3 linked regions of the Lonchura striata genome follow. The protein of the gene in region 2 purifies or fractionates together with the protein of the main gene of each other region. This does not show direct contact. Links are inferred from orthologs where the notes say so. Each region holds a gene or a part of one and is shown on either strand. Other genes may lie near its edges.

Evidence for each region. The genes of interacting proteins can lie anywhere in the genome.
Region 1: the proteins of CRKL (region 2) and GAB1 purify together in Homo sapiens (affinity purification with western blotting; 3 studies listed by BioGRID and IntAct, with this or other methods). This does not show direct contact. The link is inferred for Lonchura striata from reciprocal best matches to the Homo sapiens genes CRKL and GAB1.
Region 3: the proteins of CRKL (region 2) and GAB2 purify together in Homo sapiens (affinity purification with western blotting; 3 studies listed by BioGRID). This does not show direct contact. The link is inferred for Lonchura striata from reciprocal best matches to the Homo sapiens genes CRKL and GAB2.

The regions. Positions count from the first base shown.
Region 1 is NC_134606.1:64,919,136-64,927,002, forward strand, and holds the start of GAB1 (GRB2-associated-binding protein 1), read right to left. Parts: upstream 3,005-7,867; 5' UTR 2,750-3,004; coding exon 2,678-2,749; intron 1-2,677. UniProt on the Homo sapiens protein: Adapter protein that plays a role in intracellular signaling cascades triggered by activated receptor-type kinases. Plays a role in FGFR1 signaling. Probably involved in signaling by the epidermal growth factor receptor (EGFR) and the insulin receptor (INSR).
Region 2 is NC_134620.1:3,752,269-3,760,093, forward strand, and holds the start of CRKL (crk-like protein), read right to left. Parts: upstream 3,011-7,825; 5' UTR 2,592-3,010; coding exon 2,278-2,591; intron 1-2,277. UniProt on the Homo sapiens protein: May mediate the transduction of intracellular signals.
Region 3 is NC_134604.1:32,753,408-32,760,669, forward strand, and holds the start of GAB2 (GRB2-associated-binding protein 2), read right to left. Parts: upstream 3,005-7,262; 5' UTR 2,935-3,004; coding exon 2,863-2,934; intron 1-2,862. UniProt on the Homo sapiens protein: Adapter protein which acts downstream of several membrane receptors including cytokine, antigen, hormone, cell matrix and growth factor receptors to regulate multiple signaling pathways.

The DNA.
Region 1 (7,867 bases), on a different chromosome or scaffold from region 2:
AAAAGTTACTTGTACTTTCCTCAGAGATGTGCTGCTGGAAACAACCAGTCTATTACCTCCAACTGTTCTGAACAGCAGCTCCAGGGAACTGACAGCAGGTGCCAATGGCTGTCAGAACATTAATTCCGTAACAAAACCACATGAACAAGGCATGAGAACAGAACTCCTAAGAGAAGAAACAGACATTCATGGCATTAAGGCATACACTCAAGGAAATCTGGAATACCACCTGCAGGACAGGGCTGGTTGGAGGGTTTTTACTTTTTTAGCCTCGAAATGAGTATAAGCTAGCTTTAATACCTCATCCAACAGTTTCAAACTAAAAATCAAAGTCCCTGTGAAAGCTATGTCTGTATATTAGCTTCAAAGTGCTCCTTTTCACCCTTTCTAGGAACTAAACCATATTTAAAAACAATATCAGACTTTTTATCTCCATTTCCAGATGGTAACCTGGGTTCGCCCCAACATTTGCATGCAAAACTTAATAGAGCACGAAGTTACAATTTTCCATATATACCTGTGAAAAGTATGCGTTGCAGAAAAGCAGTTTCCTGTTGAAATCACTTTCCCATCTTTTGATCTGGTGCAGCCCCTTGAAATACTACCACCATAAAACATGGCTTTGGAAAAGGCAGCTCTCTGCTGTGCCTTCACTTAAGCATAGAATTACAGGGAGCACAAGCCAACTCTCCAGCCAGTGCACTCAGCTGGAGTTCATTGTCTTAAATACATCAACTTATTGTTTGCTCCAAGACGGCTACCATAACGTCAAGGTCACTTTTAGGTCTTTGAAGGGAGTGTCAGCCTTCAGCCTGCAACAGAGCAGGCACTACAGACAAACAGGAGGAATTTTACTTTAAGCCCTTCTCTAAGTGGTATCTTTCTTTCACACAAGCAGAAAAGAGTCAAAAATAACGTGTAGGATTTAAACTTATGATCTTACGGCCTACAATGCATGCTAATGTTGAACCAAATCACGCTAAGGTAAGCTTGCCGTATTATCATCCTGATAGTCTGCCTACTCAAAAAGCAGATCCCCCTTTCAAATGAAAATTAAGGAATTACCTCTTTAGGACAGGGAACCACTTGACCAGTGCTGTAGTCGGGGTTTTCCCCTCAAAGGTTCTTGTGTAATTCCAGTATAGAAATGGAGCTATAAATACACTGAAAGGGCAGCTACATGGAAAAAAGTTGGCATATTATGAGACTGATTAATGAGATTGATTTAGGAGGGCAAACTCTGTCCATTTACACACAGCACCCTTCACAGGATTTAGAGTTTGAGTGGAAAATTTATTAAAAGTCTTTAAAAACATGAATACTGCTCTTAATTCCTCCACACTGGTGAAGAGGTGTCCTGTGAATACACACACAGACATAGAGAATTGGCCAAAAAAGCAGTCCATTCAGCGGGGAAGCAGAACCCTGCTATGTCTCATCAGGATGTTCTCTTTCCTTTACACAAAGAGGATTTCTGACATTGGGAACCAGAGAATGGGCTACCCCAAATATTGTTTATTAATTTAAATAGGGACTCATTTCACAGATTTCCTGGCATTTAAAAAAACCCGCCCAAAGTCCCTTCAAGAAGAGACTGCTAATCGCTAACAGACAAAAATAACACAGTCACGCTAAGATCTGTATTCACAGATTCTCAAATAAATCTGAAGCTTTAGCTGCTTAAAAAAGATAAACACTGGAGGGCGGAGGGAGGGAATGAAGGCGAAGGAAGAAAAGAGTTTAAAAAAAAGGCCCAGCATTTTGTCCCGATTACACAGATGCCGCGAAACAAGCCGGGTGCCAATGGGAAAGGGCTCAGCCAGCAGCGATGACTCCTGGCATCACCCATCCTTCCTTCCTACGTGACCTGACAGCCTCCCCGGCGGCCCCGCAGCTCCGCTGTGCCCTGTCATGGAATCTGCCCGCTCAGCAAACGCGCTCCATTTTCCCGTCCGCTCCGCCGGAGCCCCTGCGAGCGCAGCCACTACCGAGCAACAGCGGCAACAACTTCGAGAGAGACACGGGCGCTTCTCTCACAACTGCCTCCTCTTTTTTCTTCCCGGTGCGCAGAGCGAGAGCGGAGCTCCCCCCGCCCCAGCCAGACCGCTTCCGAGGCATCCCCGGCTCCAGCCCGGGGTGCAATCCCGCCGGGAGCGGCGCGGAACCGGGGCAGCCCCCGCCCTCCCTGGGATCGGGCACCAGCCCCGGGACGGCAAGTGTTTACATTTAAAAATACATATATACCGAGGTCGGACTCGGAGGGAAGAGGGGGAAAACTCCGCCCTCTCCCGACTCCCTCGGAAAGGCGATAAAAACTGGGCTGAAACATCTGACCGCTCAGCTCTCCTTTTTTAAGGAGAAAAGAAAAGAAAAGAAAAGAAAAGAAAAGAAAAGAAAAGAAAAGAAAAGAAAAGAAAAGAAAAGAAAAGAAAAGAAAAGAAAAGAAAAGGCGCTGGGAAAGCGGCAGGGACGTGGCGTGCAGAAGCCCCGGCTGGAACGGGGAGGCGGAGGGGAGGGCGGCTCGCCCGGGCCCGGCCGGGAGGGACCGCGCGGGGAGGCCGGGCCGGGCCGGCGGGAGCGGGAGGCGAGCGCGGAATTCCGGCGGGAGAGAAGCGGGGCAGGGAGGAAGGGAGGGAGCAAGGGGGAGCGCGGCCCGCGAGTGGGAGAGGGCACTCACGTAGCGTTTCAACTTCTTCTCCGGCGGGGACTTTCGGAGCCAGCCCGAGCAGACCACCTCCCCGCCGCTCATGGCTGCGCCGCTGCCCGCCGGGGCGCTCCCTCCGCCTCCCGCTCCTTCTCTTCCTCGAGCAGCGGGCGCGGGGAGCCCCGATCGGCGGCGGCAGCACCGCGCCCGGCCTGGCCTCCCGGGGCGAGGGGCGGGACGGGGCGCAGGGTGTGTGTGTCTGTCTGTCTCTCTCGCACAACAGCCCGCCGGAGGGGAGCGGGGCGGCGAGCGGGGCTGAGGCGGGAGGGTCCTCCCTGCCTTCTCCTGCTCGCCGCCGCCGAGTTACACGGACATCGAGAGAGACGACAGGGGCGGCCGCCGCCCCGCCGCAACTTCGGCGTCCCGGGGCAGGATCCAGGATCCAGCCACCGCCCCGCGCCGGTGGCGCCTCCCCCGTGCCACCGGGACCCTCCCGCTGGGCAGGGCCGCTGGGGGCTTCGCTCCCTCCCGCCCGCCCCTCCGAGCTCAGCGCCGGCCGCCGCGGCTCCCTGCTCGCTCCTTCTTCCTCCTCCCCCTGCGCCGGGAGGAGGGGATCGGCAGCACGCCTGCCGTCCCTTCCTCGCCTTCCCTTCCGCGGGGAGGGGTCTTGTCCCGAGGCTGGGGCCGTGGCCCGGAGCCGGTCCGCTTCCCTGCCGGCCAGCGGGGGAAGGCTTTTCCCTGGAATTCACGGCGCCGCGTCCCCCCCGAGCCCCCTTTCTCCCGGCGCCGAGCGGCGGTGCCGCCCCGCCTGCCCCCGCCCGGCGCCGCCCCGAGCGCCGCGGCTCCCCCTCGGAATTCCGCCGGAGCCCTTTCAAACAACAAGGGCTGGGAAGCAGGGAGGCAGGCAGGGAGGGACGGCCGGCCGACGCTTCCAGCGGGATCCTGGGAGCTGTAGTCGGCACCCGGCGAGAACTGCGGCGGCGCGGCCGGGAGCGGAGGGGACGCGGCCGAGGGACGGGCTCGGTCCCTGCGGGGAAAACAAATGAAAACACCAAGCAAGCAAAGAAACAAAACCCAACCTAAAGATCCCTATTAAAACTGCATTAAAAATAGCGCGGCCTAAGTAAATTTCTCATAGCAAGTCTGAAACTGCCATAACAAAAAAAGGAAAAAAAAAAAAAAAATCCTTAATTGTCCAGGTCGTTCACCAGCTCTGCTGTGAATGCTCTCTGTCTTTTTCACTCCGTCAGAAAAGGGTTAAATAAGTAATAACAAATACATTAATAAATATAATCAATAAATAATATATTATTAAATAAAGAAAAAATAATAGTACACTTTTAACGAAAATAATTTTTGAACAAATTTTTTTCAGATTACTAAATGGCAGGTTGTGGAATGGGATCGCGGCTTTGTTGTCTAGTCCCAGTGAAGTTTCACTGCAGAGAAATAGTCCCCCTAGTGTGCCTTGGCTGAAGGGAGCCCGATGATGCTACATTTCATCTAGGTATAAGTGTATTTAAAAGTTACAAAGCAGTGGTTGTAGCATATAGGAGCATTCAAAGAAATAACAGGAAAAAATAAAGGAGAAAGGCTGAGGTGTTAAAATCTGTGCATCAATTCCAACATAAATCTTGTCATGATAATTATGACATTATGAAGCATTACTAAGCACTACAAGAAAGATCATAAAATAAGATATTTTGCCAAAAGCATTTGAAATAAGAAAAGATATGAATGTCAGCCTTTAGCAATTTTCAAAGCACATAAATCTGAGCATTCAAACCATCCTTGCATGAATTTCTGCACACCATCATTTCAGCTTCCTCAGCGGGGCTGGTGGAAACAATAAAAAAGTGATTTGGTTAGTAAACATGAACTAAAATTGTACTCTTAGGTTTAGATTACAAACTGGGTTTCAGTGCAAGTTTTTTGTTTAAACCACTAATACCATTGTTTAATAATCTCAACATTTGACATTATTCAAGTGCTAGATAAGACCACAAAATTTTCCAGTATCCTTTGGAACACTGGAGACGATTCAGTATTTAGAACATGTGGAGCCAATGTGAACTAACTAAAAATGCCATTGGCACTGGGGCATTGTGACGTGATCCAATGGTTCATTTGAATCCCATTAATTAACCCATGCTTTGAGGGCAAATCAAAGAAAGCTTGTTTTGGGTTAAGCAGTCTCCATGGAGGCACCAACCAAACAAGTTAGCTGGTCCAGAGACACAAGATTGTCCCTGAGGTCAAATTTCAAAACATTACATTTGTGTTCTAAAACACACAGAAACCAGTGTCAGCCTGGACTCCAGCTTAAGTTTTCATGTATTTGTTTATCAGTTTTGTGAGGGGGTTTAATCCCTGTCATGTATACACTAGGGAAAAAGAGTTAATGTCACAGTGATGAATAGTAAACAACAAAGCTTGCCTTTTAGACTGTACTTAGTTGCTGAGCCTAGTCACAAGCCTCATGACTGGACATAAAATGTTTTTATTGCATTGTGGAATTGAAGAAAACAATACAGCAAAGCACAATTTCTAAATGTTAAGATGTTGTCTCATGGACTGCTCCTTTCCTAGTCATGGCAGTGGATTTTCTTTTCTGCTCTCAGCCATTTGAGCTACGCATCCACAGTCCCACCAATGCCTTCACTTACCATCTCAGGAGAAGGCTGCACAGAGCTGTACCTCTCTTTCCAAGTTAGTGAACAGCTAGAAAATCCAAGAATATTAATTTTGTGGATTTCTGTGCATATCCAGCAGTGTTCCACAGTTCATAATTTAGATAACCTGTATTAGGGTAAACTGAAACAAGGCTAATGAAATACATGAAGAGCACAATATTTAGGTCTGACTCTTAACACCTGCATATTTATAACTGTAAAACTGTCTATGAAGAGAGTGGTGAAATAATTACACAAGTCAGTTCCTCCATGTAGAAAAATTTTTACACTCAGCCAGCTTAGGCTAGGACATAATTTCCTGAATTTAAGGATAAAAGTCACAAGGATTCTGTCGAGAATAACTGAGCTATACTTCTGTCCTGAAAGTTAAAACAATATAAGCATGCCCCATTTTGAAATTCTTCTGCAATACAGCTTGTGCTTGGAAGAACAAAACTCCCTTCAGGGCTTGAAGGACTGTAACCCCACGTCAGGACATGACCACCCTCTCCCCTCACTTTGTTCCCTCAGGTTATTTCTGTGCTGTTCCTTGGGAAGCCTGGAAGATAAAGGTGTTTCAAGCTCAATTATTTGCATTACAGAGATCTTTGGTATTTGAGTGTAGGGCCTTTGAGGAAGAAGAGAGAAGGGAAGAGGATTTTTTTCTTGGAGGAAAGGTTATTTTGCCTGTTTTTAACAAGGATGTTGCAATGACAGCTGTTGGTTTTGAAGAAGAGGATGTGGCCAGCAGAGCAGCTCGAGGAGGAAGCTCTGGAGGTATCCATCCTCTCTTCTTACAGTGCCAAATCCTGCTACAGGATTGGGAATGTTAGGAATGTTGCCATTCCTGGATCCCACATTGCCATCTGAAACAGTCCCTGTGCTGTGACTGGACATTGTGACCAAGCTGCAGCACACACAATGCTCAATAAAGTGCACTTTAACCAGCGAGGTGATGCCATGGTCATATGGAATGTGACGACTACACACATGTGGTCACGGTGCTGGTGCTGCCTCCCAGCTCAGGAAGCATGTGCAAGATGCCTTGACTCCTCCACTGACCTTGTGTTCTTCCACAAGTGCGTTCCAAAGTGTTTAAATGGGTTCTTCAAAATTCTGGAGTAGACTATTTATATATCTTGCCAGATAAAGTAGGTCATGTGGAAATCCATTTGTCTCTGGTTTGCTTGCCAAGTTGCCTTGATGAAGGAAGCAGGAGCTGATAGAAGAGGAGATTAAATACATATGGGCTTGCTTTCAAAATATAAATTATGTTAATTTCTCATGCAAATAGCTTAAGAATTCTGGACTTGCATAATAAGATGGTGCTCACTACAGCACTATCTTTGTGTTATACTTCTAGTATGATAACCTATGCATTCCCCTGTGGTTTCACCTTGCAGTCACAAACAGCTGCTCCTGATAGTGATCCCTAAACTCCTCTATGCCTCCTGCTTACATTTGAACACAAAATTTGTACTTTGACAAAAAAAGAACCAAAGGTCTAATTAAAAAGTATAAATTAGTTTAACAAAAAATTTTGCATGTCAGTCTATATCCTAAAACATGTTTAGGTGTTTATGTAAAAATGAATCAGTGAAGAAAAAGAATTAATCTTTTAAGTTTGCAAAATTCTGCATTTATATATTTCTTTTCATCTCAAATACTTCCATTTTGATTTCAAAATTATTCCCAGGTAAATTTAATCTATGTAGTTATTTTGGTCACTTTGCAGATGACATTTACTGTTTCTTTCAGAATGTAGTTATTTAGATTATTTGGCAAGCACATTGAGGAAAGTAATAAAACCAGACATAATTAAAAGAGATGACTGTATGTCCACACACTTTAGAGTTGTTTACTGGTTGTTAAGCTACCTCATCTCTTTTCTGTGATTACATTTAATATTGATGTAGGCAAATAAAGGCAAGAGTATACTGCAGAACTCATACACAAAAAAGGAGCAGTTTTCAGTTCTGCACAGGTGTAATACATTGAGATTTCCTTTGTGTATTCTGTGGAAAATACTCATTCCCCATTCTGGTGTGGAAATTCACTGGTAAATGTTTGTCCTCTGTTTTTTGCCAGAGGATCAGTTGACTGCCTTACTTCATGCAAGGGAATTTCCCTTTTTTTCCTAGGCTAGTCAAGGAAGAAGGAGCAGGCTGGCTGGTTGGCCAGCCATGCAGAAACTTCCTAAGGTCTACGCTGTTAAAAAATTAATCAGAAGCTTTTCCCTCCATAAGGACAATATCTTTGCACATATGTACTGAAAATGTAGACTTTTTCTATAATAGGAAGCATTTTACAAGTTCAGCACAATGGAAACTTCACCTTAGGCCACTTTAGGCTTGGTCTTGTAACAGAAATAAGAATTATAGGAGACATGATCGTGTTTCCAGGAAAATAAGTAATGTATGGTCACATGAGAGACCAGTACTCCAAAGCTGTACATAGTCAAAGGAGGCATCAGCCAGGCTCTTTGGCTGAGCATGGTTTGTCCTCAAAAAGCACAAGGTGGAATTTGTACTGAACACCTCCCAAAATAAAA
Region 2 (7,825 bases):
ACTTATTATCTAAGCTATGATAGCAAGGATGCATGTCATTAACCTACTTCAATTCTCTTTTGCTACTTGCAAAATATGATGGAAGTCAAATCCCTGTGATTTTTGCAAGATATGCCAGAAGCCCTGAAGATAAAGATATTCCATCTTCAGACACCCTGCTGCAGCCAAAGCAGGGGGACAGAGGGAACCCTTCAGGGAACAATTACTTTGCATAAGCAAGAGCTCAGAAACATCAGCAAGGATGGTCAGAGCTCACTACTAGAGACATAAAAGAAGCAAAGTTTAAAACGGTCCATTTAGGACTGTTTTAAAAGTTTAAGATGTCATCTCTAAGATCTAGAAGTACTGTAGGGCTCTATATAGAAACCACCTTTCAGACTGTACTTTATGAAATTAAGAATGAACAGCTTTCAAAAGCACAAGCATCTGTGCCCAGGAAAATGCCAGAAAAATAAGAATTAGCATAACAGTTCTGACGCACATACCTGGCCACCCCTATTCTAAATCTAGTCTATTAACTAAAAATTTAAAAAAAACCCACCAAAAATCTGGAAATTCTACCTTTCATCATCCCTCTTGCAGCAGGAAGTCTCCTTTGCACAGAATTTAAAACCATCAACCACATAACTGATTTTTCTAAGAGTTTTAACAAAGACATTGTAAGGAAAAAGACCTAGTCAATCCCATTTGTAGCTCTATATAAAAGCTAAAAAAGTCAATTCCCTGCAGATTAGGTCCCATTTGTCTGTGTGCTGAGAGAACAATATGCAACCAAAACGTTGCAAATGAGGTGGTACTAAAATGTTCACAGAACATTTCACACAGGACTCCTCAAACTCCACAAATACCAAGTGTGCAAGTGCAATCAGCTCCAAGTTCTCAAGTGCTTTGAGAAAGCCAAGCCAGTCATGGCCATAAATGATTATGAACAAGTTTTTGCATCCAGAAAGGTTCAAGAGAACAGAGATAACCATGAAGATTGCTTCAGCATAAGACTTTTTTTCTTCCCAACTCTCCACATGTTTAAGCATGCACATAACACTGGGCAGCTCCATTTAAGCATTCCTGCAATGGTGAAAACCATTTTTTTTATCTACCCATCTCTCTAGCCACAATCACTACCCAAAAGGCTGCCAGCAGATTGAATAGTTCTTGAAGGTTGTGCTTTGTCACATCCTGCCCATCACTTAACAGCTTTTCAGAGTGACTTTTGAACACCTGGGTTTTCAACTTGACAAGCTATTGTCAATCTTTGACAAGTGACTGTCATTAAGTACTGGTCTAGGCCAAGGTTCAATTGTGATTATAAACCTAAAAGTTATTCTTCCCTCCTAAGAACTTGCTAATCTGCAAAACATAATAAGATATTAAAATTCAGAAGTGAACCAATTTGGATTTATTTTTTCAATATGTCCCTACTTTTCTCTTATTTAATTTAATTTCATTCTCTCCAGGAAGCCCAAAAGTTTTGACAAAAGACACTGAGAAAGGCTTTATTAATTAAAAGTAAGGAATATGTTATAGGAGTCTTCATAAGCAGTTTACTGATGTATGTTGCAGGTATGTCCCATGCTGGGACCAGGACAAAGAAGGAGCTCATAGCCAAGTCACATTTTCCCATCCTCCTAGAACAGCATTTCTCAGTGAAGTGTATGGTATATGCAGATATAGATGAACAGTACCATAAGCAATCTGTGAGAAAATAAGTGTTTTACATTTTTTTGGTGCAGAAATGCCACTCTAAAAGTTTGGGAAATGCTGCCCTATGTATTAACGCTGACTTAACAGGGCAAAGCAGTCTAATCACATAAAAGCCAGTCCTATTGTAATCGGTGTGGGTGCAGGGGTAGACAGCAAACTAAGCTCAGAGGCTGTACTTCAATCACGGAGAGGACTGGTGAACCAGCTTCTCAACCATCCTTGGAACAGAGAGACAATGCTAGAAGAAGAGAGTAACACAAAAAGGGTGACGTGCGACCACACCCTCTTTCAAGGCCATTTCAGCCCGTGGCAGATGTACATGGTACCTTTACACACAAGGTCAGCACAGGGAGAGTGGATGATTGCACGGAAAGAGCAACACTTTTAATTGTCGGGGAGATCCAGAGCGTTAAGGCTCAGCGTTAGCAACGAACGTTTCCTTAGTATTTATTCATAGCATCTACACCCAGTGCCAGGCTCCGGAGCTCCTGGGCTGGGCTGTGACACCTTCACAGGTCGCACCTCCTGGCGCCACCCGGAGCAAAGGTGGCGGTGGGTGTGGCGGGGGACACTCACCTGGGCGCGGGCTCGATGAGCGTGGTGGTGTCCAGGTAGTGGATCTTATAGAACTCCAGCAGGGCGGGCAGGTGCTCGAACTCCTGGTCGCCGATCTTAAAGCGGCGGTTGGGCAGGGAGTTGATGATGTAGTGGGAGACGCGGGAGTTCTCGGACACCGAGAGCACGTAGTCCCCCGGGCAGGTGGACGAGTCCCGCACCAGGAACATGCCGTGCCGCTGCCCCTGCAGCCGCGTCTGCGCCTCCGCCCGGGACACCGGGCCCACGTACCAGCTGGAGCGGTCCGACGAATCGAAACGAGCGGCGGAGGACATGGCTCCGGGCGGGGAAGGGGAAGGAAAGGGAGGAAGGAAGGTGAGGAGCCCGGAGGCCCTGGCGGAGGAAGAGACCCGGAGGAGGCCTGGGCAGAGAGGCCTGGGAGGTGGAGCGGGCTGGGGGCGAGCGGGAAGCGGCTCGTGCTTAGTCCAGGAGAAAGGAAACCCAGGGCAAGGGGGATAAGGGAGAAGGAAGCTCCGCGCCGCTGGAGGCGAAGGGCCGAGGAGCGGCTGGGGTGGGGCTGGCCAGACGCGGCGCGCAGGGCCCCCGAGTCTCCCTCAGCGGCGGGGTGTGCAGGGCATCCTTCCCGCCTCTCTCAGGCCTGCGGCGGGCCCGGCCAGGCGGGTGACGAAGAGCAGCGGCGGCTGGCACGGGCGGGCGGCCCGGGAAGGCGGCGAGCGGAGCCGGCCCGGCTCGGGGCGGGACGCGGAGGCTGAAGCGCCGGGCGCCGCGTCCTCCCGCGGGTTCCTCCCCTCGCGAGCCCAGCTCCAAAATGGCGGCTGCGCCGGGCCGCGCGAGCGCCGCGAGACACCGCCCCGCGCACGCGCCGTGGCGGCGGCGGCGGCGCGGGGCCGCGCCCGCCTCAGGGGCCGGGCGGGGGGTTCGAGCCCCGGAGCCCCGTCCCGGCGCCCCGGGGAGCGGCACGGCCGCCCCTTCCCCGTTCCTCCGCGAGAGTCACTCAAGCCGTCCCCGGTGCACCCCCGCTCGGTGCGGTGAGTGAGGCGGGGGTGACCGCATCCCCTCACAGGGCAGGGCTCCCTCAGTGCTGCAGGCGCGCTTTGACGCGGGACACCCCCCAGAAACTCCCCAGCCCTTGGCCTTCAGGTATCTGAGGGGGCCCCTCCATCTTCCCCCCATCCCTCTCGGCACGTTCTCCCTGCTCGGTGCCGCCCAGCCCCGGGCTTTGCTCCCCGCTGTCCCGGGACTGCCTCGGGCTGCTCTCGCTGCTCCCGGACCCGAGGGGTGCCAGCACCCTCACCCCAGGCGGTTTGCAGACAGACACCACCTCTCCTGAGGTTTTGCTGGTTTTTACTAGTTAATTAATTCTCTTTTAAGGAACAAAACGGCCCGCCGTGATAATCATCTCTGATCTCGAGATAATTTCCTACGTGCTCCAAGGGGCCGTTTCCTGCCTCTTCGTAGCTTTGTTCGCAGATAACGGGGTCAAAGCCCGGCCTGGCCCGGGCGGGAGGGAAGATGGTGTGGCAGCCGCTGAGGAGGAAGGAAGGCCCGGAAAGGCCTCGGCAGGGCTCGGGGGCAGCGCTTGGCACATGGTGCGGATGAGCTGTTTGAATTTGAGAGGAGGTTGGCGCCGGGAGCCCAGACCGGCACCGGGCTCTGACTCACGCCCCGGGGGCCGGCAGCGCCATTCGGCCCGTCCGGCCGCACTGCGCGGGGGCGCGGCAGAAAAACTGCGCTGCCTCCCCGGAGGTGCTAGAAACCTCCGAGAACGGTGTGATTTTAGCTCAGCCTTGTGACTTCGTTTAATTTGTGCTTTTTTAATTCATTTTGCTTCAGGGCTGGCAATGTGAAATGAAGCAGCACTTGAAAAAAAAGAAAAAAAAGCCAGTTCAAATGAGAAATAGATTTAAGATGTCTGTCTTGAAGCGCTTAGCTGGACTGTTGTGCAGTGTTATTCCAGCTTTGCTGTCTTTCTTTCATGCTCTGCCTTTTCCAAAAGTTCAGTCATTACATAGTCATATTTTTCCTTTGTTCCTCATCCTCCATTGGCAACCAGTGCCAACCGAGGTGTCTGGATTGGAACATATGGGCTGTGTCTCTGCAGACATTTAGCAGAGTTCAAATCTGAAATGGAAGACTTCTCCAGTGTCATGATTTAGACAAAGCCATCCAGGAGAAGTCTCATCATTGAGATGAAAGGATCTTAAAGCAGCCCCTGAATTCATGAGCAGGTATCGTTTTACCAGCTGCTGACATACAGCCATCTCCTGGGTGGAAAACAACAGCTGTTAGTCATGTACAGCAAAACAGTGACCTAGAGATGAATAATTACATCTGAAAATTCACATCTATGCAAAAAAATTTTGTCCATTACTAGGAAATCTTACTTAGTAGCTATACCTCTGATCCATTCCTCCTGGTTTAAGTGCTTGTGTCTGCTAGTAACAGCCAGTTTTAAACACTTGTAGACAGGCTATAATAGAATATGAAGGTTATGATGTTTTCTTGTGTCATTGAACAGATCTGGCTTGTTTTCTGTTTGACCATGGCCAAAATACAGATTAAAAGATAGCACTTGAACTTGCAATAATATACTAAATAACATTTAAAAATAATTATAAAAGCTGTAAGTTAGCAGCACATTTAGTAACTCATAGTATATAAAAAGGAAATAAAAATTCCTGCGGCTTCATTTTGTTGAATTACATTTTTTGTTAAAATAAAAATCAAATATGTATAGTGATTTTGCCTCCATTTTGTACAGATAATACTAGAATCTCAATATAGTTTGAACAGGTCAGAAATAAGTAGTATTCTAAACCAGTTTTTGTGCAGTACTGCATGGGGCTGGACTGCTGCTGAAGAACCAATGCTTCCACCTTCCCATCCAGAGAGGATTCTAAGGCATGGAGAGGTTTTCAGTTTGAATGAACTTTGAAATTAGATATTCTGAACTTGTATATGTGCAGGTTGTGTGCATCCTTCAAGTAATTCCCTCTGTTTTATTAACCGGGGTTAAACTAAACCAGGTATTTTAGGAAAAAGATCCCACATATGAGGGATATCTCATATCGTATCTTCCATATGAGCAAAAGTTAACTTGTTCATCATTAATGCTTTCTGATAAGACTGTGCTTCAACTTCCTAGACTACAGACAATCATCTCAGGTGTATTACATCCCTACAAATGCATTTGGTTTAGGAAGAATGGATGAATGTCTGGTACCACTTTGCCTTTTTAGTACATATAAATACCTTTATGCTCTTTGACTTTACCTGTTGGCAGTTGAGCATGGCCAGTTGTAATGCAGGGGGGAGCTCAAAAGTGCATCAGCTGCCCATGAAACAAAACCTCAGCTGGCAGAATATTCCCTTGAGAAGGCCCTGTACCTCTTTCCCTGTGCCAGCTGTTCCTTCTTCCTTTTCACCAGAAGCTTCTTCCTTTCACCAGATCCCATCAATTGGGCTGAGTTCCAAATAAATTGTACATGTGGCTCATCCCTAAGTAAGGAGAAGTACATTTCTGCCAAGGCTACAGAATAAGAATCCTTATTTTATTTCAAATCAAGTACTGGGTATGCTTCCAATACAAAATTAATGACCCTAATTTGAACTATGAGGAAAATGGGAAAGGATATGTTGGATTTGGAAATAGACAGCTGGAGAAGAAATACAGTAGTGAAAGCAGTTATGAAACAAAACTGAAGCAATCACAATCATTTCTGCAAATATGGAAAATGTAAGCCTGAAATACTTCAGGATACAAGTCCACTAATTACAAATCTGGCAAATATGCCTGTACAGCTTTACCTCTGTGCTGGCAGGAAATAGGAAAATAGATCATCAAGAAAGCTAATTACCATTCTTCTGGACTTCCTAATGTATCAGCAGTTTGAGTGTTGGTATTTTGATCACTCACTTCTGGAAGAGCTGTTTGATTGTTCTCTCACAGACCAGAAATAACTTACAGCTTTCTTAGTTCATTGTCCATCTGTCCACAATGTCTTGTTTTATACTGGCTCAGGGAGCTTACTGTAAAAAAAAAAAAAAGCCTTTTACTGTCAGATACAAGACTGACATATTTAGGACACCAGAGAAGTTATATATAAAAAAAAACAACCTAGAATCAGCTTGAAATCCCTATGAGTACATGTTTCTTTTGAGGTAACAAAGCTTAAGTGGGCTTGTGAAAGTTCAGTTCCTGAAGCATCATTCTTGATAGGAAAACCAATCAATAATAATTACAGCCCTGTGTATCAACCTGTAATCTTTCCTGCGATTTGTTTATATAGGTAATGGTAGTAAACAAGAAGTAATTTATGTCTGCTGAGTAAAAGAAAATTACATTTTTAAAGCAAAGCAATTTTATTATTATTTAGCCTGTGTGCTAGTTTGAAAAAAGGACATGCTGGCCTAAAGTGAGCTACTGCTAAAAAATGATTAGGATGGTTTGAGCTAAACTCCATGGTTTTTTACCTAAATGAAATACATGCAAGTAAGATAGTGCATACTGTAACTTTCAACAGTCACATTGTCGTCAGATGTAAATAAATTTTGGGGATGAAAGCAAAAAGTTGTTTTTTTACCAAGTATTACCTGCCCTTAGGATTAGTTCAAGTAACTTAGGGTTATTATACCAAATATATTTATATTATATATAAATATAAATAAATATATATATAATATATATATTATATATAAATCACTCAAATAAGTAAAAACAAGAGAAAAATAATGTAATGCTAAGGTAGATGATCATCTGCTTTAAGTAATTTCCTTGCAACTACATTCTAAGCCTTATATTCATTAGCTTTTCAGAGCATCCAACTGCAACATTTAGTGAATAATGCAATCACAAAATAGCATATGCTGATAAATGGAATGTGGATGAGCTCTCTAGAATCAGTATTCACACACAGAAGGAGTGACAGGGTAGAAGCTGGAACACCCACTCTCCCCAAAGTTTGCTCAAGATGTTTCTTTGGCTCATTAATTACTCATGAATGTCTTCTATTCTCGTATGTAATCTAAGAATTAGCCTCTCAGGTTGGTTATTTGTAACAGTGAGTAATACCCTCTAGCGGTACACATAGGAAAAGGAGCTAGACAAAGAATGATTAATTCTTTTTTCATTGTTAAAGAGGCTAAGTAAGGTTTCATCTAAATAACAAGAATAACCCTGTATCTTTGTATGATACAGGGCATCACTGGTCTGTCTAGAGATGCTGGTTAAAATGGAAAATGCACTGCACTGAGTTAGATGTCAGTTAGAAATAATAATTTGTTTGCAGAGGAAACAAATTGCCACTTACAGTCTGGAAGGAGTGGTTCTAGTGACTCCCACATCAGAGAGGTATGTCCTTATATCTGAAGGCTACATTTAATTCCTACATATGACAAGTAACTCTGTAGGCAAAAAAGGAATATTTATCAGTCTCTAATATTGCAGTGTAATAAAGCCTGCATTTCCAGACCCTGTGTGCAGTCCAGCGTTCACTATCAAAAAAGTATTCTCTGAAAAAGTTTGTAATCAGGGTTTCCTGCAGTTACC
Region 3 (7,262 bases), on a different chromosome or scaffold from region 2:
AGGTGAAAAGAGATATTTTGGTACTTCAATTACTTTTGACCTTCAATTGTTTGCTTAGCTTTTGTTATCAATATTACAGTAGTATTTACTGCCAAACTGCCCAGAGTCTATATGAACCCCTGTATGCAGTTGTGAGACTGAAAAAAGGCACACTTTGTTTCACCTTTAAGCAGTCATCGTTTGATCATTTGAATGTCCCTCAACAGAAGAGAAACTCACAACACTAATATTTCCCAGAGCGTTGTACAAATAGATCCCACAATCTCACATAAACACAATCCTCTGAAGTGAAACAGAGCAGGCACTGCTGTAAATGCAGATTAATGCTGCACAGATCAGGTGTGGAGTTCACCACACCTTTATCAACCACCCTGAATGGAAGTCAGAGAGAAAATTTAGTACTTTCCTTTCTTGCCATAGATCTCCTTGAAAAATAAAAGCAATACAAAACCAGGCTTATAAAAGCACAGCACTTCAAGGACAGCGTTAGCAACACACCCATGTGCAGACACATACATTTGAAAGGCACTTGTCAAAGAAAAAATAAATCTATCCTCTCCCCTGTGTCAATACAGCCAGAGCAGGAACTTCAAACCCCATTAGCAGCATCCTGCAGCCTGAGATTTCTCCTCTGAAATCTCAAAGCAGAACGTAAACTGAAGACATAAGGAAAGTGGCAAAGGCAGCAATTCAGCACCTTCCCTTTGAGGCCATACAAAAGCCGGCATAAACTGCCTTTTGTGCACAAAAAACCAAAGTCCAGCCATGTGGGTTTATTGTGGACAAAGGCAGGTTTTACAGAAGGAAAGCCATCACTCTCAGGCTCTGGACAAACAAGCTGCTCTGAACTACTCTCAAGGAGAGCCTGTTCCACACGCCAACATCCTAAATGCACACCACAGCTACATAAATACAGCATCAGTAATAATGCATTAAAAGGCAAAGGTACAAGGCACCACCAAGTGAGACACAGTCCAAGCTAAAGGCCAACACTTTCAAATTCAGCCACTGATGCAGGAAGCTGGTGCAACTGGTGTGACTGGAAGGGAAGTCCCACTGACCACAGTGGCGGGACTGCTTCAGCACAGAGTCCCCTTGAGTGACATCTGCCAAGCATCGCTTCCTGCCCCGAGGAGGCTGCGTGGGATGGCTGGGCACATCTCAGCATGGCTGCATTTCCTCTTGGGGGAATGAGGATGTTTTGAAAACATAGGTGGCTTGCAAAGCACTTTGGGATGCATGTGGATGAAAAGCACTCTTATGCACATCAATAATTAGCACTAACTGCCGGCGTGTCACACCCTCCATGTAGAGCATTTAGCAGATTTATTCAGCTCTTGCTAGAATGCCAGAGCACAAACTGGATATTCAGACCGTGATGTGAGCGCCCTTTCATGGGGCAGATGCTGGGGAGCTAATGATGTTTGATGAATTAAGGCCATTGGTGACTCAGGATCAGCAATTAGTTGATTTCTGCGGGAGGAAGGTGCTTTGCTCCATTAAGCTAAAAGCATCCTCCACAGTTCAGCATGCACAAAGTCATTCTGTCCACCTCCCACAAAGCCTGCCTACGTTCATTTGGGGGTTGGTACTTCCCACATAAACACTCAGGTTTACCTTACTGGATTCCCTAGCAGTTCCATCCTTCAGCCTTGTGCCAACCTGATATTCCCTGGAAGAGCATAAGGCACACAAGGAAAGAATTGCCAAGAGCAACTGGACGCACAGTCTAATGCAAAGGGATATGGTACCACTGATGTCCATGGGGCTGACCCCTTTTTTGGGCAAGGCTAATAACACTATCACAAATCAGACACAACCACAGTCCTGCTCTAGCCTGCAGTACGGGACTACAGACATCCATCTCCCTCTCAAGGGTAGGCAGTGATGCTTCCATCAATCATTAACAGGCACTGGGGAGACACCAGCCGCACTTGTTCTGCCTGCCATTCCCCAAACGCATGCAGGCAAAAGCAACAGGACCAAAGGATGATCTGGCTGGCATTACCCCAGGAAAGGAGAGCATCCAGCTCCCTCCCAGAGGCTGCATTCCAGTCATCTGAAGGCTGGCTGAGGCTGGTCGCTGGTGTCAGGGAGTGGGACCCTTGACATCCCGGGGAGCGATGTGCCAAGTCATAGGACGGCAGCGCGTTTCTGAGCGCTAACGCTCGTGGCACATGGCAGGACTATCAGGCGGAGGACGCAAAGAACAGTTATTTCTTTCAATGAGTGGGGAATGTGACAGAGCTGGCATTTGGACCCTCTTTTTACAACTTCTTTGAAGTGTTTGATCTCAGCCGCTAACGACACAAAGACTATCGAAGCGCTACTGGTGCTATCTTCAAAGGGTTCCGAGGTTCAATGATTAATAGGAGCCCTGCACGGGATGGAGGAGAGCGACTATTACGGGAAGGTTGGGGGGATCCAAGACGCGGTAGTACTCTTACTCTTTGGGACCAAGGTACTCCCAGCCTCCCCTAAAACAGCCGACTCCAAAGGCGGGGGTGTGACCGTCGCAGGTCCCGGGTGAGCCCGGCCACCGCGGGGCGCAGCCAGAGCGGCCCCGGCGCCGCGTCCGCTCCAGCGCGGCCGTCACCGCCCACCCCGCCACCCCGGGCAGGGAACAAGCCGGGGGCCCGGAGATGCTCCCACCCGCCTTCCCCGAGAGGCGGGGAGCCAGGGGCGTTCGTTCCCGGCCCGGGCAAGGGGCACCCCCGCCCAGCCGAGCCTCCGCGGCGGCGGGAGAGGCGGCGGCAGGTGCACCCGGGCTGGCGGCGGAGGAGCGGGGATGGAGGCGTGGGGAATGGATCCCGGCTTTCCCGGGGCCCGGGCGAGGATGAGATGGGGTGGGCTGAGACTTACGTATCTCCGCAACTTCTTCTCCGGCGGTGACTTTCGGAGCCAGCCCGAGCACACCACCTCCCCGCCGCTCATCGCGGCAGCCGGGCGCCGCCGGGCGCTGCCTCCCGGCGCTCAGCGCCGGCCGCGCCGGCCCATGGAGGGCGGGCGGGGCTGGGTGGGTGAGCGGACGGATGGATAGATGGATGGATGGGTGGGTGGAGGGAGGGAGGGAAAAAGGGAGGGAGAGATGGAAGGATGGATGCGGGGGGCGGCGAGCGCCTCCCCCCGCCGCCGCGGCCGCTGGGCTGCGAGCGGGGAAGCAGGAAACTGGCTCCTTCCCGGCTCACCACGCCTCCGCCCGCCCGGCGCCCCGCCAGCCGCGTTAAAGACACAAACCCGCGGGGAGAGGGGCTGCCCGGCCCCACGCCGCCCCCAGGGGCTGCCGCTCGTCCCTGTCCCCCCCACACTCACAGAGTGCCTACAGAGAAACTTTATCCATGCTGCAGCAGGTGATCTCTAACAGCGCAACATTTCCTTAATTAAAAAGTACAGCTCCTCCCCTGTAATGTTTCATTATCCCGGGACCCTTCCCCTGTCTTGAGGGAAGAGGTCCTTCTCACCTCGGAAAGGCGAGGCTGGCTTTAGCCTCTCTGTGCTCAGAGGCTTGTGCCTGAGATGAAGGTGCCATAGGAAAATAATGAGGTTGAGCAAGAAACAGCCAAACACCAGTGATGCCAAAAACCCTCCTGAAGGAAAAAATATAGCAATAAAAAACCACGAGGGGAATCAATAAAAGCTTCGTATTTTATTATTGATTTTTAAGTAATGGAGCAGTGGCCACTGAAAGGGGATTTGACTGCCACTGGAGTCTCATGCAGACAAGCCAGGTTTTGTATTACAGTGTATTATACCCTGGCTGAGATTCACTATCAACTTTTAGATCTAGAAACACTGTACATTTCAAAGCCTGATCCTCTCCTCTCCAGCTCAGACAGTAATAAAACATCTCTCCACAGCCCTTCGAATTGGGTTATGCTCTAACCTTGCTTTCACTGCACCCTTTAAAGCAATACTTGGGCATGGCACCCATAAAAGCTGAGTCCTCTTAGCCCACGCTCATGTGGAAAGCACAACAATTTGCTAGGGATGAATTTCTAAGACCTGTCTCTATACAACAGCTCTGCCCCAAACCTGCTTGGGCACATTCAGTCATCCCTGCCTCAGCTTCCCTGCCTGTCCAACCTCTATGGGCAGGGATGGTCCCTCCTTATGTGTTTGTGCTGTAGCTGGTGCAATAACAACTCCATGCTGGCTGGATGTGCTACCGTATGTCACACAACAACAACCTTTATATAACGTCACTCGAGCAGGGATCTTGCAACACTTCAGAGCAGTAATTGCAACTTGCAGTGCCTCTGGGAGGCAGGAGCAACACCTCTTTTCAAGATGGGGAGAGCACGTTTAAGCCATATGTTGTTTATCATCTTTGTGAATGCATAAAGAAGGGGAATAACCCCTTACAGAACAAGTCAGTCATTTGTTAGGAATGTATTTTCTCAACAGCTTTGTTTTACTGCCAGTGAAATGCAAAGGCTAAATAGGAAGATTTTTCTATCGTCTCACTACCCAAAGGAAGAGCTTGATCCTAGTCCAGTGCTGGGCAATCTCTGCAGAAAGAGGCTGTGCTCAGATCAGCGTGTCCATCTCTGCCAACACAGCGTGTGTGGTGGGGCTGAGAGCAGGGGAGAATGGAGGGACCAGTTCTGTGCTGGCTTCAGTTGACATCACCTTATTCAGCACACTGGAGCCATATCAATTTACACCGCATGAGTGCAAGAGGCTCACCTGCAAACTCTCCTGGTTAGAGGCACTTTGTGTATTCGTAGAGAAAATTGTGTCCTGGTGGCCTGCACTTCGGAGATCTTCCCAAAACAGAAATTTCAGGGAGGCTGGTGAGCTACTGGGGATTTAGAAAGATTTGATTAAGAACAGATGATCAGGATTAATACAAAGGTATCATGCAAAACTATCCCATGGTGTATGTTAATGATTCACAAGTTAGGAATTCACTCATACTTACACCAATGCAAAGTGGTATCAGTTTGAATACCAGTTGCAGAGAACCCTGTCTGCATTTTTATGCTAACAACTTCCACCACACAGAGTTGGAACACTTCATTTGGGTAATGGATGTTTAAAGAAAAGCTCCATAATTATCATTGTGTGAATTGGAATGAATTATTCTACATGTTCTATGACAGCCCTTGGTTTATTACCTTGCTCCTTTGCTGTACTCTTCCTTCTCTCCACTCATCCCCTATTCTGGATCCCATTTACTGACTTGGTTACATCACAAGATATATCCAAACAGTGTCCAAAATATTAAGTACCCCTGTAAATTCTTTTTTCCCATGCTTTTAGTGATGCCTGACAGGTATCTCAGTTTACTGGAACTTTTGGATGGGAAATAGGTTGCATTTTCTGTACATTTGAATGTGCTGCTGTTCTCAGATGTGACACAGAATCACAAAATTATTGAAGTTGGTAAAAGCCTCCAATATCATCAAGTCCAACTGTAATATAAGCTCTGTGCAGAAAAATGCTTCAAAGATGCTGCACGTGAACGTGCCTCTCCAATTCCACTGTGGCTGTACACAGAATGGGAACAGTGAGTTAATTCTGGCATCAGGTTTCCAGATTACATATGATCCAATGCATGTAACATTACAACGCCTTATAATGCTGGCCCTCCTTAAAGCTTTTGGCCAGGAAGATACACAAATACTACCCTCAGTGCCCCTGGGAGTTAAAGACGATGTCTGTCATGAGCACAGCTCGATTTGGCAGCGCTTGCACGTTCGTAACAGTTTTTACCAACTTCAAGCTGTTCCTCCAACCGGCAGTGGAGAATGAACTCAGGCTGGCCCCAGCTGACTGTGTAAATCTCTGGAGTGTGAGCTAACAGCCAGCAGCCTTGGCGGAAAACTGTGTGAAAACCGCATCCCTGTGTTGGAAAAATCTGACAAGGGAGTTATGCGAAGCCATCGAGAATTCATCTCTGCCAGCAGAAGCAACTGAAGGAGGAACAGCAAAATTAGCAGATATAGCAAGGGAGAAATTAAGAGACGCCGTGTAAGAAATATTTCTTGAACAAGGGTAAGGCTGAGAGAGAAACATTTTTCTAAGAAAAAGCCCTTGTACTGTCTTTAACTGCCGTGCTGGGGTGCACGACAAAGTGACACTTTCTTCTGCAGAAACCTCCGGGGTTTTTAATCGTAACCTTCAGTGTGGTTTCTTGTGCATATCTGAAACCGAAAAATCAGAACTTCTAAGAAAGAAACCACAATGTCCACGGCTACTCCTTCCTGCTCCAAATTTATTCAAATGAGCTGTGCCATCTGCTGGCAGACGGGAAAGCTGCAGGCGGAGCAGTTCGCTCCCAGCCGCTGGTGCAAGCAGCCGGGATGGAGACACCGGGCATTTCCTGTGCATTAAGGACCAGCTGGCTGAAACGCTCCGGGCCACTTACTCCAGCCAGGCACAAATCCCTTGGAAATGCCCTATACGGTGGTTAATATAAACCGAAACAGGCTGTGGGGATGGGAGAGGAAAGGCTTGAAAAATCTACCGTGTGCTGCTTCGTGCTCCTTGCCTGCTTTTAATTCTGAGCGAATGCTCGGTCTCGTGAGATCCAGCTCCACAACAATAAGACCCGACTTTATCTTCATGCAACAGTTCCTGCAGCAGAGCGGGATGGAAGCAGCTTTTTGATTTAATGAAAGAATTTTCAAGGTTAAAAAAAAAACCAAAAAAACCACCTCTTTCAAGAAGGCAAGTCTTTTCAAGCTTTCCACCCTCCATAGAAGAGCACAGCAAGCCCCCCAGAATGACTGCAATTGAAGCCAAACCACAAGGCAGTCCTTTCCTTCTTGTGACAGCAGCTCCAGCAGCACTGGCTGCTTTCCATGAGCAGAGGGAATAGTAGCAAAAGGTGCTTTGATCAGATAATGAGACAGTTTGAAGCATCTTCCGTGGAGTGTTGTGGCAAAGACAGGGGCATCAGTCTGATGCCTTAATACAGGCTTGAAACAGAGATGAGATGATGCAGGTCAGCAGTGTTCAAGGCACATAGATTTGCATGGAGTTGATGGTCCTACTTTGTCCTCTCTCTGTTGGAGATCCCGGCCAGAACCAGCACATCCCATCTGGGATGGATACAGACCCCCTGGGCAGCACAGGAAGGCGCCTGGGGTGCTGAGCTGGATAGCGTCTGTGGCTGCAGCTGGAGGACACTGCCAGTCCTCACACTTGAAGATGATTAAAGAAGACTTCCTATTCCTATTCAGTCAACACTGAAGCCCAGTGCTATTTCTCTCACCAAACTAAACACTTAGAAATAACTTTGCCTGGAGCTGAGCTGG